3 linked regions of the Saccharomyces cerevisiae S288C genome follow. The protein of the gene in region 1 interacts with the protein of each later gene in a biochemical or structural test. Each region holds a gene or a part of one and is shown in the gene's direction. Other genes may lie near its edges.

What was found.
Region 2: of the proteins of GID7 (region 1) and PCK1, one has a biochemical effect on the other in vitro, tested with the Saccharomyces cerevisiae proteins (one study listed by BioGRID).
Region 3: of the proteins of GID7 (region 1) and FBP1, one has a biochemical effect on the other in vitro, tested with the Saccharomyces cerevisiae proteins (one study listed by BioGRID).

What each region holds. Positions count from the first base shown.
Region 1 is NC_001135.5:50,700-55,409, forward strand, and holds GID7 (glucose-induced degradation complex subunit GID7), read left to right. Parts: upstream 1-1,945; coding exon 1,946-4,183; downstream 4,184-4,710. Other genes in the region: YCL042W (uncharacterized protein), read left to right, coding at 1-244; GLK1 (glucokinase), read left to right, coding at 139-1,641; ATG22 (Atg22p), read right to left, coding at 4,242-4,710.
Region 2 is NC_001143.9:629,105-633,437, forward strand, and holds PCK1 (phosphoenolpyruvate carboxykinase PCK1), read left to right. Parts: upstream 1-2,047; coding exon 2,048-3,697; downstream 3,698-4,333. Other genes in the region: ESL2 (Esl2p), read left to right, coding at 1-1,276; ubiquitin-specific protease UBP11, read right to left, coding at 3,922-4,333.
Region 3 is NC_001144.5:873,246-876,785, reverse strand, and holds FBP1 (fructose 1,6-bisphosphate 1-phosphatase), read left to right. Parts: upstream 1-1,993; coding exon 1,994-3,040; downstream 3,041-3,540. Other genes in the region: translocon subunit SEC61, read left to right, coding at 1-1,050; PSY3 (Psy3p), read left to right, coding at 3,232-3,540.

The sequences.
Region 1 (4,710 bases):
GCTCAAACGGTGGGCACTAATGAAAACGCGCCCATATAAATATCCGCTATCAACAGAACCCCCAACCCCCCCATCAGTGCCCAACTCAGCTTCCGTAAACCACAACACCACCACTAATACAACTCTATCATACACAAGATGTCATTCGACGACTTACACAAAGCCACTGAGAGAGCGGTCATCCAGGCCGTGGACCAGATCTGCGACGATTTCGAGGTTACCCCCGAGAAGCTGGACGAATTAACTGCTTACTTCATCGAACAAATGGAAAAAGGTCTAGCTCCACCAAAGGAAGGCCACACATTGGCCTCGGACAAAGGTCTTCCTATGATTCCGGCGTTCGTCACCGGGTCACCCAACGGGACGGAGCGCGGTGTTTTACTAGCCGCCGACCTGGGTGGTACCAATTTCCGTATATGTTCTGTTAACTTGCATGGAGATCATACTTTCTCCATGGAGCAAATGAAGTCCAAGATTCCCGATGATTTGCTAGACGATGAGAACGTCACATCTGACGACCTGTTTGGGTTTCTAGCACGTCGTACACTGGCCTTTATGAAGAAGTATCACCCGGACGAGTTGGCCAAGGGTAAAGACGCCAAGCCCATGAAACTGGGGTTCACTTTCTCATACCCTGTAGACCAGACCTCTCTAAACTCCGGGACATTGATCCGTTGGACCAAGGGTTTCCGCATCGCGGACACCGTCGGAAAGGATGTCGTGCAATTGTACCAGGAGCAATTAAGCGCTCAGGGTATGCCTATGATCAAGGTTGTTGCATTAACCAACGACACCGTCGGAACGTACCTATCGCATTGCTACACGTCCGATAACACGGACTCAATGACGTCCGGAGAAATCTCGGAGCCGGTCATCGGATGTATTTTCGGTACCGGTACCAATGGGTGCTATATGGAGGAGATCAACAAGATCACGAAGTTGCCACAGGAGTTGCGTGACAAGTTGATAAAGGAGGGTAAGACACACATGATCATCAATGTCGAATGGGGGTCCTTCGATAATGAGCTCAAGCACTTGCCTACTACTAAGTATGACGTCGTAATTGACCAGAAACTGTCAACGAACCCGGGATTTCACTTGTTTGAAAAACGTGTCTCAGGGATGTTCTTGGGTGAGGTGTTGCGTAACATTTTAGTGGACTTGCACTCGCAAGGCTTGCTTTTGCAACAGTACAGGTCCAAGGAACAACTTCCTCGCCACTTGACTACACCTTTCCAGTTGTCATCCGAAGTGCTGTCGCATATTGAAATTGACGACTCGACAGGTCTACGTGAAACAGAGTTGTCATTATTACAGAGTCTCAGACTGCCCACCACTCCAACAGAGCGTGTTCAAATTCAAAAATTGGTGCGCGCGATTTCTAGGAGATCTGCGTATTTAGCCGCCGTGCCGCTTGCCGCGATATTGATCAAGACAAATGCTTTGAACAAGAGATATCATGGTGAAGTCGAGATCGGTTGTGATGGTTCCGTTGTGGAATACTACCCCGGTTTCAGATCTATGCTGAGACACGCCTTAGCCTTGTCACCCTTGGGTGCCGAGGGTGAGAGGAAGGTGCACTTGAAGATTGCCAAGGATGGTTCCGGAGTGGGTGCCGCCTTGTGTGCGCTTGTAGCATGATCTTTTTACATTTTTTTGGTTTGTGTACGTATCCCACCGTACTTACCATCTTCTCTCCTTTATATATATATATATATATGTATATTTTCAGTGTATATACATACATTCTTATACAATACCGTATAAGAACGTATGTATGTATGTATGATTTTCTCACATTAATGAACAATATCATCGGAAACGGGCCTTTGGTTTTTAAGGGAAAATGAAGAACAATAAATGCCTTGCTAGGTCTTCCTTTATCATTTTTGGAAGTCAAATATGAAAAACACTTCCAAGGGGGCGTACTACTTCAACTAATAAAATGTCACACACTAATAAGATCGCATACGTGTTGAACAATGACACGGAGGAAACAGCCTCGCCCTCTTCCGTTGGTTGTTTTGACAAGAAACAGCTCACTAAATTACTGATACATACTCTAAAGGAGCTGGGCTACGACTCCGCCGCTAACCAGTTACTGCTAGAGAGCGGCGGATATCAAAATGAGTCTAACCACATCCAGACTTTCTTCAAACTCATCAAGACCGGCCAATTCCATCTTATTAATTGGCAGATTGTTTGCTCGCTGCCCCTTGCCCATAGCTCTCCGCTAAGGTCCGAATGGCTTCAAAGGCTGCTCATTCCCACGCCGACGCCCGCCACGACTTCACTTTTCGACCACATGCTCCTGCAACTGCAATACCTGCAACAGCTGATGAGCTCTGTAAATTCATCTACTTGTTCGGACGCAGAGATCGCCACGCTCAGAAATTACGTAGAGATCATGATTCTAGTTAATAGACAAATATTCCTCGAATTCTTCCATCCAGTCACAAATTCCGCCTCTCACAAGGGCCCTCACACTGCACTGCCCGTCCTGTATTTGCGCAAAATCCTCAAAAACTTCATCGAGATATGGGATTCCCTGCTGGTGTCTAACGATCAGTTCCTAAATGAAGAAAACATCTTCAATCCGGAAACGACCTTGAGAGAACTGTCGACGTACCTGACCAACCCAAAACTAACCGCGCAGTTGAACCTCGAGCGAGACCATCTGATTGACGCCATCTCCAAATATATCGATCCGAACGAACTCGTTCCCAAGGGTCGTCTCTTGCATCTCTTGAAACAGGCCATCAAGTATCAACAATCACAAGACATTTTTAATATCATCGATCCGGATGATGACGCCTCTTTCTCCTCTCCACCCCACCGGATCAACCTTTTGCAGGATAACTTCTCACACGATCTGACTGTGACCTTTCAAGAATGGAAGACTATCCAAGACACCACAGACGAAATTTGGTTTTTGACATTTTCGCCCAATGGCAAGTATTTGGCTTCTGCGACTTCCGAGTCTTCAAGAGGCTACTTCATTACTGTTTATGATGTGGAACAAGACTTCAAAATTTATAAGACTTGCGTGAGCTTGTCACAATCCGTATTGTACCTCATGTTTTCTCCTGATAGCCGGTATCTGGTTGCTTGCCCTTTCAGCGAAGATGTTACCATTTACGACATGAATGCCACCTCCCTGCCCGATGCGTCTGCCACAGACTCGTTCCTACTATACCCTTCTACCAGGCTCTCGCCCATGGACTCGTTTAAACTGGACACCACCACGTACCCAGATGATACCGAATCATCAGCATCATCTTCCTCGAGGCCGGCAAACGCGAATTCTAATCAATCAAGAGTATGGTGCTGCGATGCCTTCCACACTGCGGAACGTGCGGGCTGGATGGTGGTTGGATCGCCCGACAGAGAAGCTATTGTACACTCACTCACCACGAAAGAGTCACTTTTTAGCTTAAAAGGCAGGACTTGTATCGCGTTGGGCCACGATGAAAACATCTCTGGGAGAAAATCAATCGATCCTGCAAAAGTCCTTTACAAACCAACAAGTAGCAATGGTAACTGGCAATATGTGGAGGACGACGAAACCTTTCCACGTGTGCACGACGTGAAAATCAGCTATGACGATAAATACGTGCTTTTAATGACCCACCAGGGCGTTATAGATGTCTACGATTTCAGTGGGTTCCCCTCCAAAGAGGAGCTATCTAAGCAAACAGTGGATCCCAAAAACTTTCTGATTCCAAGGATCGCAAGATTGGACGTGGGCAAAAACATGACTTGTATCTCATTACCGCTAAATACCACGCATCAAGGCTTCCATAGGCAACAAATATCCGAGTCTCAACATTTGGTATTAGTTAGCCTTCAAGATAACGAATTACAAATGTGGGACTATAAAGAAAATATTCTCATACAAAAGTACTTTGGACAGAAGCAACAGCACTTTATTATCAGATCTTGCTTCGCCTACGGTAATAAGCTTGTCATGAGCGGATCAGAAGATGGTAAAATTTACATTTGGGATAGAATTAGAGGTAACCTAGTATCTGTTTTATCCGGTCATTCCACGGTAATGAGTAATTCCACAAAACCCATGGGGAAAAATTGTAACGTAGTTGCATCAAACCCTGCAGATAAAGAAATGTTTGCTTCTGGCGGTGATGACGGTAAGATAAAAATCTGGAAAATTTCAAGAAATTAATACTCCACCTTATATATATACGTAAGCAAAGTTTTATGTAACAAAAAAAAAAAAAGAACTAATCCAACCTTCTTTCACTTTCAGGTAAAACTTGACTGAGTTCTTCAGCCTCTCTTCTACCTCTCTTGACATCCAAACAGTTTAGCACAGGCAATGATAGCATCAAAAGCAAAAAGAAGAAATAAAACGAATAGCGAATATTATGCGTTTTATCGGTAAGCAGTCCAACAAGGAAGGGTCCCAGGATGGACGACCCCTTATCTGTGATACTGAACATACTAAAAAACGTGGATTCTTTTCCTGGAGGTACAATCAAACTGAAAACTGATCTTGAAACCGCGGACAGGCCACCTAGTGATAATCCATACCAAATGGCCAATAAGAACATTTCAAACTTATGCTTTAAACCGAACGCATTGAAGAAAAATCCAAGAATACCATAAAATGGTATGAAACTTGCCCAAATGATAATGTACATCAAAGTTTGACTAGAAGTCCACCGAAACTTTGTGGCAAGAAATTGTGGA
Region 2 (4,333 bases), on another chromosome or scaffold:
TATTATTGGAGATTTATGCGATGACTACGATAAATTAAGCCTTTCTGAACTTTTAGAATTATTCAATGAAGGCGAAGAATTACCAGAAATTTTGGGCTGTTGGGGAACATTGTGGTTTGACACAATTTGCGAAAAGAATACGCATTCGATTAGTAGTGAAGATAATTTTCAAGAAATCGGTATAAAAGATTATATGGCATTGGATTCGCCGACAGATGGAATTATATTTGATGAAAAGGACGAAAATGGTGAAAAATTCTGGAAAAGGGCATGCAGAACCATATTTCTTTTTAGAGAGCTGTCAAGAAGTTTTCCAATAGGCGTAATAATCAGAAACGATCCGTTGATATATCGTTCATCATTTCAAAATACTAATATATTGGGAAGTTTAGTCTTCAAACTCGAACCCTTGTGCAATATACACAACAATATACCAGTATTAGGTGCCCTGGAAAGTATTATTGACATATCTGAGGCAAGAAGTGAAAACAACACTGATCTGCACGCTGTGCCGGAACTAAGTGTCAACGAGGGCGATAATATCTTCCACTATGTTGGCTACAAGAAACTTCGTGCCGATTATACGTGCTTCGATAAAAATGGAGAATTTTTAAGCGCCTCGCTTTACACTACATGGTATGTCCCGAACAGCAACAACACTAACATAGAGGACAACATCAATTATAACAGCGAAAAGGAAAATGAAGGTCTATTTCTGGAATGTATAAAATCTGATTATCCAGAAATAGATTTTAAAACTACATACTTTGTCTTTGATGCAACTTCTTGGCTAAGACATTCCGCACGCATATTCAAGCTAGCTCAAAACAGACTGCTAAGATTTGCCATTTGTTTAACCACATTCCAAGAGCTGAGATTTTTACGAAAGTCAAAGGACGAAAACGTCATGGAGGCTGCCACAAGAGGTATAATAACTATAAGGCAGCTTTACTATGAGAATAAAGTATTACCCCTAAGATTCACAGGTAATGTAGCGACACACATCGAAGAGAACTTAGAATTTGAAGAACAAATAACATGGAGGACACATGTCGACGAGTTTGTCATCGAATCCGTAATGAAGGCGCAAGAAAAACTAGAGAGTGCCAGCGAACCGCGTCTTTCCCCTCGCCGCTTTAACTACGTAGTTCTGATATCTGACGACGACGCCATGAAGAAAAAAGCAGAAGAAAAAGAAATAAAAACGCTAAGCACACGATTTGTGTTTTCTTTGTGCACAAAACTTGGCGAACAGCGCCATCTGTGTACAGACTGATCGTTCGTTGTACGTACATTTACAACAACACCAATTCTACTCACCGCCATAAATAACACTTTAATTTTAATATATACTTTTATATGCATATAACCAACTGACTTCCATACAATTCTGACCAGAGCACTTGGGCAGAGCCCCCACCCAGGGCCTTGTCGGAAAAAATCGGAATATCCCACACGATCCACCGGAGAATATCGGGACGCTGACGGGTGAATGGAGATCTGGATTTCCTAATTTGGATACATCTCTTTTCTTTTTTTGACTCACAATAGGAAAAAACCGAGCTTCCTTTCATCCGGCGCGGCTGTGTTCTACATATCACTGAAGCTCCGGGTATTTTAAGTTATACAAGGGAAAGATGCCGGCTAGACTAGCAAGTTTTAGGCTGCTTAACATTATGGATAGGCGGATAAAGGGCCCAAACAGGATTGTAAAGCTTAGACGCTTCTGGTTGGACAATGGTACGTTTGTGTATTAAGTAAGGCTTGGCTGGGGATAGCAACATTGGGCAGAGTATAGAAGACCACAAAAAAAAGGTATATAAGGGCAGAGAAGTCTTTGTAATGTGTGTAACTTCTCTTCCATGTGTAATCAGTATTTCTACTTACTTCTTAAATATACAGAAGTAAGACAGATAACCAACAGCCTTTCCCAGATATACATATATATCTTTATTTCAGCTTAAACAATAATTATATTTGTTTAACTCAAAAATAAAAAAAAAAAACCAAACTCACGCAACTAATTATTCCATAATAAAATAACAACATGTCCCCTTCTAAAATGAATGCTACAGTAGGATCTACTTCCGAAGTTGAACAAAAAATCAGACAAGAATTGGCTCTTAGTGACGAAGTCACCACCATCAGACGCAATGCTCCAGCTGCCGTTTTGTATGAAGATGGTCTAAAAGAAAATAAAACTGTCATTTCATCAAGCGGTGCATTGATCGCTTATTCCGGTGTTAAAACCGGAAGATCTCCAAAGGACAAACGTATTGTTGAAGAACCTACCTCGAAAGACGAAATTTGGTGGGGTCCGGTCAATAAACCATGTTCTGAAAGAACATGGTCTATCAACCGTGAAAGAGCTGCAGATTACTTGAGAACAAGAGACCACATTTATATTGTCGATGCATTTGCAGGATGGGATCCAAAATACAGAATCAAAGTCCGCGTTGTTTGTGCCAGGGCTTACCACGCTTTATTCATGACAAATATGCTTATTAGACCTACAGAAGAAGAATTAGCCCATTTTGGAGAACCTGATTTTACTGTCTGGAACGCTGGTCAGTTCCCAGCCAATTTACACACCCAGGATATGTCTTCAAAGAGTACTATAGAAATTAACTTCAAAGCAATGGAAATGATCATTTTAGGTACCGAATACGCCGGTGAAATGAAAAAAGGTATTTTCACAGTTATGTTTTACTTGATGCCTGTGCACCATAACGTTTTAACTTTGCACTCTTCCGCCAACCAGGGTATTCAAAACGGTGACGTTACTTTATTCTTTGGCCTAAGTGGTACCGGGAAAACCACTTTATCCGCAGACCCACATAGATTGTTGATCGGCGATGATGAACATTGTTGGTCCGACCATGGTGTCTTCAATATCGAAGGTGGTTGTTACGCCAAGTGTATTAATTTATCTGCCGAAAAGGAGCCTGAAATTTTCGACGCTATCAAGTTTGGTTCTGTATTAGAAAACGTTATCTATGACGAGAAGTCGCATGTAGTCGACTATGACGACTCTTCTATTACTGAAAATACTAGATGTGCCTACCCAATTGACTACATTCCAAGTGCCAAGATTCCATGTTTGGCGGACTCTCATCCAAAGAACATTATCCTGCTAACTTGTGATGCTTCGGGTGTTTTACCACCAGTATCTAAATTGACTCCTGAACAAGTCATGTACCATTTCATCTCTGGTTACACTTCTAAAATGGCTGGTACTGAGCAAGGTGTCACTGAACCTGAACCAACATTTTCATCTTGTTTCGGACAACCCTTCCTAGCCTTGCACCCTATTAGATACGCAACCATGTTAGCTACAAAGATGTCTCAACATAAAGCTAATGCGTACTTAATCAACACCGGCTGGACTGGTTCTTCCTACGTATCTGGTGGTAAACGTTGCCCATTGAAGTACACAAGGGCCATTCTGGATTCTATTCATGATGGTTCGTTAGCCAATGAAACGTACGAAACTTTACCGATTTTCAATCTTCAAGTACCTACCAAGGTTAACGGTGTTCCAGCTGAGCTTTTGAATCCTGCTAAAAACTGGTCTCAAGGTGAATCCAAATACAGAGGTGCAGTTACCAACTTGGCCAACTTGTTTGTTCAAAATTTCAAGATTTATCAAGACAGAGCCACACCAGATGTATTAGCCGCTGGTCCTCAATTCGAGTAAACGAAACATGTTCGTTCGATATGTTCAATCCAAAAAAAAAAAAAAGAATTAGAATTATTTCGACATCATAAATGTTCGTAATATATTATTTTGTCAATTTTTTCTCTTCCCATTTCAGCTTTTTTTTAATAACTGAAACTGGATCAACAAGCACATGTTTTTCTAATTAATCTTTCAAACATATTTATGTATATACATAAGGAAAATTCAAAAATCCGATGCAATTAACAGAATTCTTCTTCATAGTTCTCTTCATCCATTCTTTCGTAGAATAAGACGTATACCTCATCGCTAGACATTTCTGTTTTGCCGGCTTCAAAGTTGTTGCGATCCTTGCGATGTTGCTGTATATAATCGTCATCAAATGTAACCCAAACTTGTCTATTCAGTCCAATTTCATGGCTCTTTTCTTTGTTCACAACAGAAGTATAGTGTCCATTGATAAGGTTACCGGAATGATTCACCGTTCCATATAACTTGTATCGAATCACTTTACCGTTCTTTAAAATAATGTTCAATATCAAAGGGTAGGTTATTACAGTGCTGTTTTTTTTTGTTAAATCATAATAGAACCTTGATAAATGAATGACAAGTATCGGAGGTAAAACTATAAAGTCTAAACTCTTAATCGTGGTT
Region 3 (3,540 bases), on another chromosome or scaffold:
GTGGTCGTCATGACAGGTAACTACGGTGCCCCTTCGGACCTCGGATTGCCCATCTGTTTGTTGTTAATCTTTCAATTGATGTTTGCATCGCTGATTGTGATGTTATTAGACGAATTGCTATCTAAGGGTTACGGCTTGGGTTCCGGTATTTCTCTGTTCACGGCAACCAATATTGCCGAACAAATTTTCTGGAGAGCGTTTGCTCCTACTACAGTCAATTCCGGTCGTGGTAAGGAGTTCGAAGGTGCTGTGATTGCCTTTTTCCATCTTTTGGCTGTCAGAAAGGACAAGAAAAGAGCCCTTGTCGAGGCCTTTTACCGTACCAATCTACCTAATATGTTCCAAGTGTTGATGACCGTGGCCATCTTCCTCTTTGTTTTATATTTACAAGGCTTCCGTTACGAATTGCCCATCAGGTCAACCAAAGTGAGAGGTCAAATTGGTATCTACCCCATCAAACTCTTTTATACTTCCAACACCCCAATCATGTTGCAGAGTGCATTGACTTCTAACATTTTCTTGATCTCTCAAATCCTTTTCCAGAAATACCCAACCAATCCATTGATTCGTTTGATCGGTGTTTGGGGTATCAGGCCGGGCACCCAGGGCCCTCAAATGGCCTTGAGCGGGTTGGCCTACTACATCCAACCATTAATGTCTTTATCCGAAGCTCTTCTGGACCCTATCAAGACCATCGTCTACATCACATTTGTTCTTGGTTCATGCGCAGTATTTTCCAAGACATGGATCGAAATCTCCGGCACTTCCCCACGTGACATTGCCAAACAATTCAAAGATCAAGGCATGGTCATTAACGGTAAGAGAGAAACCTCCATTTACAGAGAATTGAAGAAGATCATTCCAACTGCTGCTGCTTTCGGCGGTGCTACCATCGGTGCTCTTTCTGTTGGCTCCGACCTACTAGGTACTTTAGGTTCTGGGGCATCCATTTTGATGGCTACTACCACCATCTACGGCTACTACGAAGCTGCCGCCAAGGAAGGTGGGTTTACTAAGAACCTCGTTCCAGGATTTTCTGATTTGATGTGAATATAAAATGAAAATAATATCCAAAGAAAAAAAAAATCGCATTTAGCCACACCCCTCCCTCTATTTTTTTATTTTGTTACCATAGTTTTATCAACGCCTTCTTACACCTGTATAGAGCTAAATAACTATATATATGTATGCGCAAATAATTCCTAGAAAATCGTCGATTTTTATAAATTCTAACCGCCGATTAACAATATCATACGCGATCTAAATTTATAATAGGCGTGAAGCAAAGGAAGTTGATAAAAAAAAAGTAAAGAACTCCTCATAGGGGGCTCGAACCCCTGACATTTCGGTATCCTTGCTTAAGCAAATGCGCTTAAAAGCCGAACGCTCTACCAACTGAGCTAACAAGGATGAGTTCTTCGAATTTTCCAGTCTAAGATAGACAACCCATCAAACTGCATGGTCCCGGGCTAACTTCTGCTCTCTTTTCCGGACGGATGGAATCGCCGCTTTTGAATTCACCTCCGGGGTATTATTATTATTCTTAGTAGTCGCGGTCGTGCGGACACCCGGAGTTATGCGGGCCCGAAAGCTCATTATGTAGTAAAGCTAGGTAATGTTAAGGGCGTAAGAGCCAACGCAAGGCAGCAATAGCCTGGTATTCCCACATATCAAGAAAGCTTAAAAAGTTGAGACAGGGAATTTGAAGGCGAAGATTGCCGAACTGGCCAATACCCACTACTTTTTTTTTGGTTTGCTTGGTTTCTTCCTGTCGCTTGCCAACTTGTGGCATCTTCCCCACACTATATTATAAGGATCGTCCTATGTATAGGCAATATTATCCATTTCACTCGCTAACAAATGTACGTATATATATGGAGCAACAAGTAGTGCAATTACAGACGTGTATTTTGTCTTGATCTTGCTTTTTGTATGATAGGCCTAAGAATAACAGTGCGAACATATAAGAAACATCCCTCATACTACCACACATATGCCAACTCTAGTAAATGGACCAAGAAGAGACTCTACCGAAGGGTTTGATACCGATATCATCACTCTTCCTAGATTCATAATCGAGCACCAGAAGCAATTTAAGAACGCTACTGGTGATTTCACATTAGTACTGAATGCCTTGCAATTCGCGTTCAAATTTGTATCTCACACCATCAGACGTGCTGAATTGGTTAACTTGGTTGGGTTAGCAGGCGCTTCCAACTTCACTGGTGACCAGCAAAAGAAGTTGGACGTTCTAGGTGATGAAATATTTATCAATGCCATGAGGGCTAGTGGGATCATCAAGGTCCTTGTATCTGAAGAACAGGAAGACTTGATCGTTTTTCCCACAAACACGGGCTCATACGCAGTGTGTTGTGATCCTATTGATGGCTCCTCAAATTTGGACGCCGGTGTCTCCGTTGGAACTATCGCGTCTATATTCAGACTGCTACCAGACTCATCAGGTACTATAAACGACGTACTGAGATGTGGTAAAGAAATGGTAGCCGCTTGCTATGCCATGTACGGATCCTCTACGCATCTAGTATTGACATTGGGTGATGGAGTTGATGGGTTTACCTTAGACACAAACTTGGGCGAATTCATCTTGACTCATCCTAACTTAAGAATTCCGCCTCAAAAGGCCATCTACTCAATTAATGAAGGTAACACCCTCTACTGGAACGAGACTATAAGAACATTTATTGAGAAAGTCAAACAACCCCAAGCAGACAACAACAACAAGCCTTTCTCGGCTAGGTATGTTGGATCCATGGTTGCTGATGTTCACAGGACGTTTCTTTACGGTGGCCTTTTCGCATACCCTTGCGACAAGAAGAGCCCCAACGGAAAACTGAGGTTGCTTTATGAGGCCTTCCCAATGGCTTTCTTAATGGAACAAGCAGGGGGAAAAGCGGTCAACGATCGCGGAGAGAGAATCTTGGATTTGGTGCCAAGTCATATCCATGACAAATCTTCTATTTGGTTGGGTTCTTCAGGTGAAATTGACAAATTTTTAGACCATATTGGCAAGTCACAGTAGTTCAATGATCGCCTTCTTTTCTTATTTTCTTTGTTCTGTACTTTAGTACGCGAAAAAAAAAAATCTGTATATGTCCTTATATATATATATATTTATATATATATATGTGTATGTATGTGTACCGTAAGCATTACTCCTTCTAATAATGAAAATTCTTAGGAAAAGAGAAAGGAAGTAGCGAATGGAATGGGATGGAAGTTTTAAAGAACATTAGAATTTATCCTTTGTCAAACTTCATCACATCAACCAAGAACTATATAAACCTACCAAATGAATTAAGAAACCTAATTAGTGAAGAGCAGGAGAGTAAACTAGGGTTCTTGCACATCATTGAAAGTGATTTTAAACCTTCGGTAGCGCTGCAAAAGTTGGTGAATTGTACTACGGGGGACGAAAAGATCCTAATCATAGATATAGTATCAATATGGTCCCAACAAAAGCAAAGACAGCATGGCGCGATCTACATGAATTCGCTATCTTGCATAAACATCACGGGATTA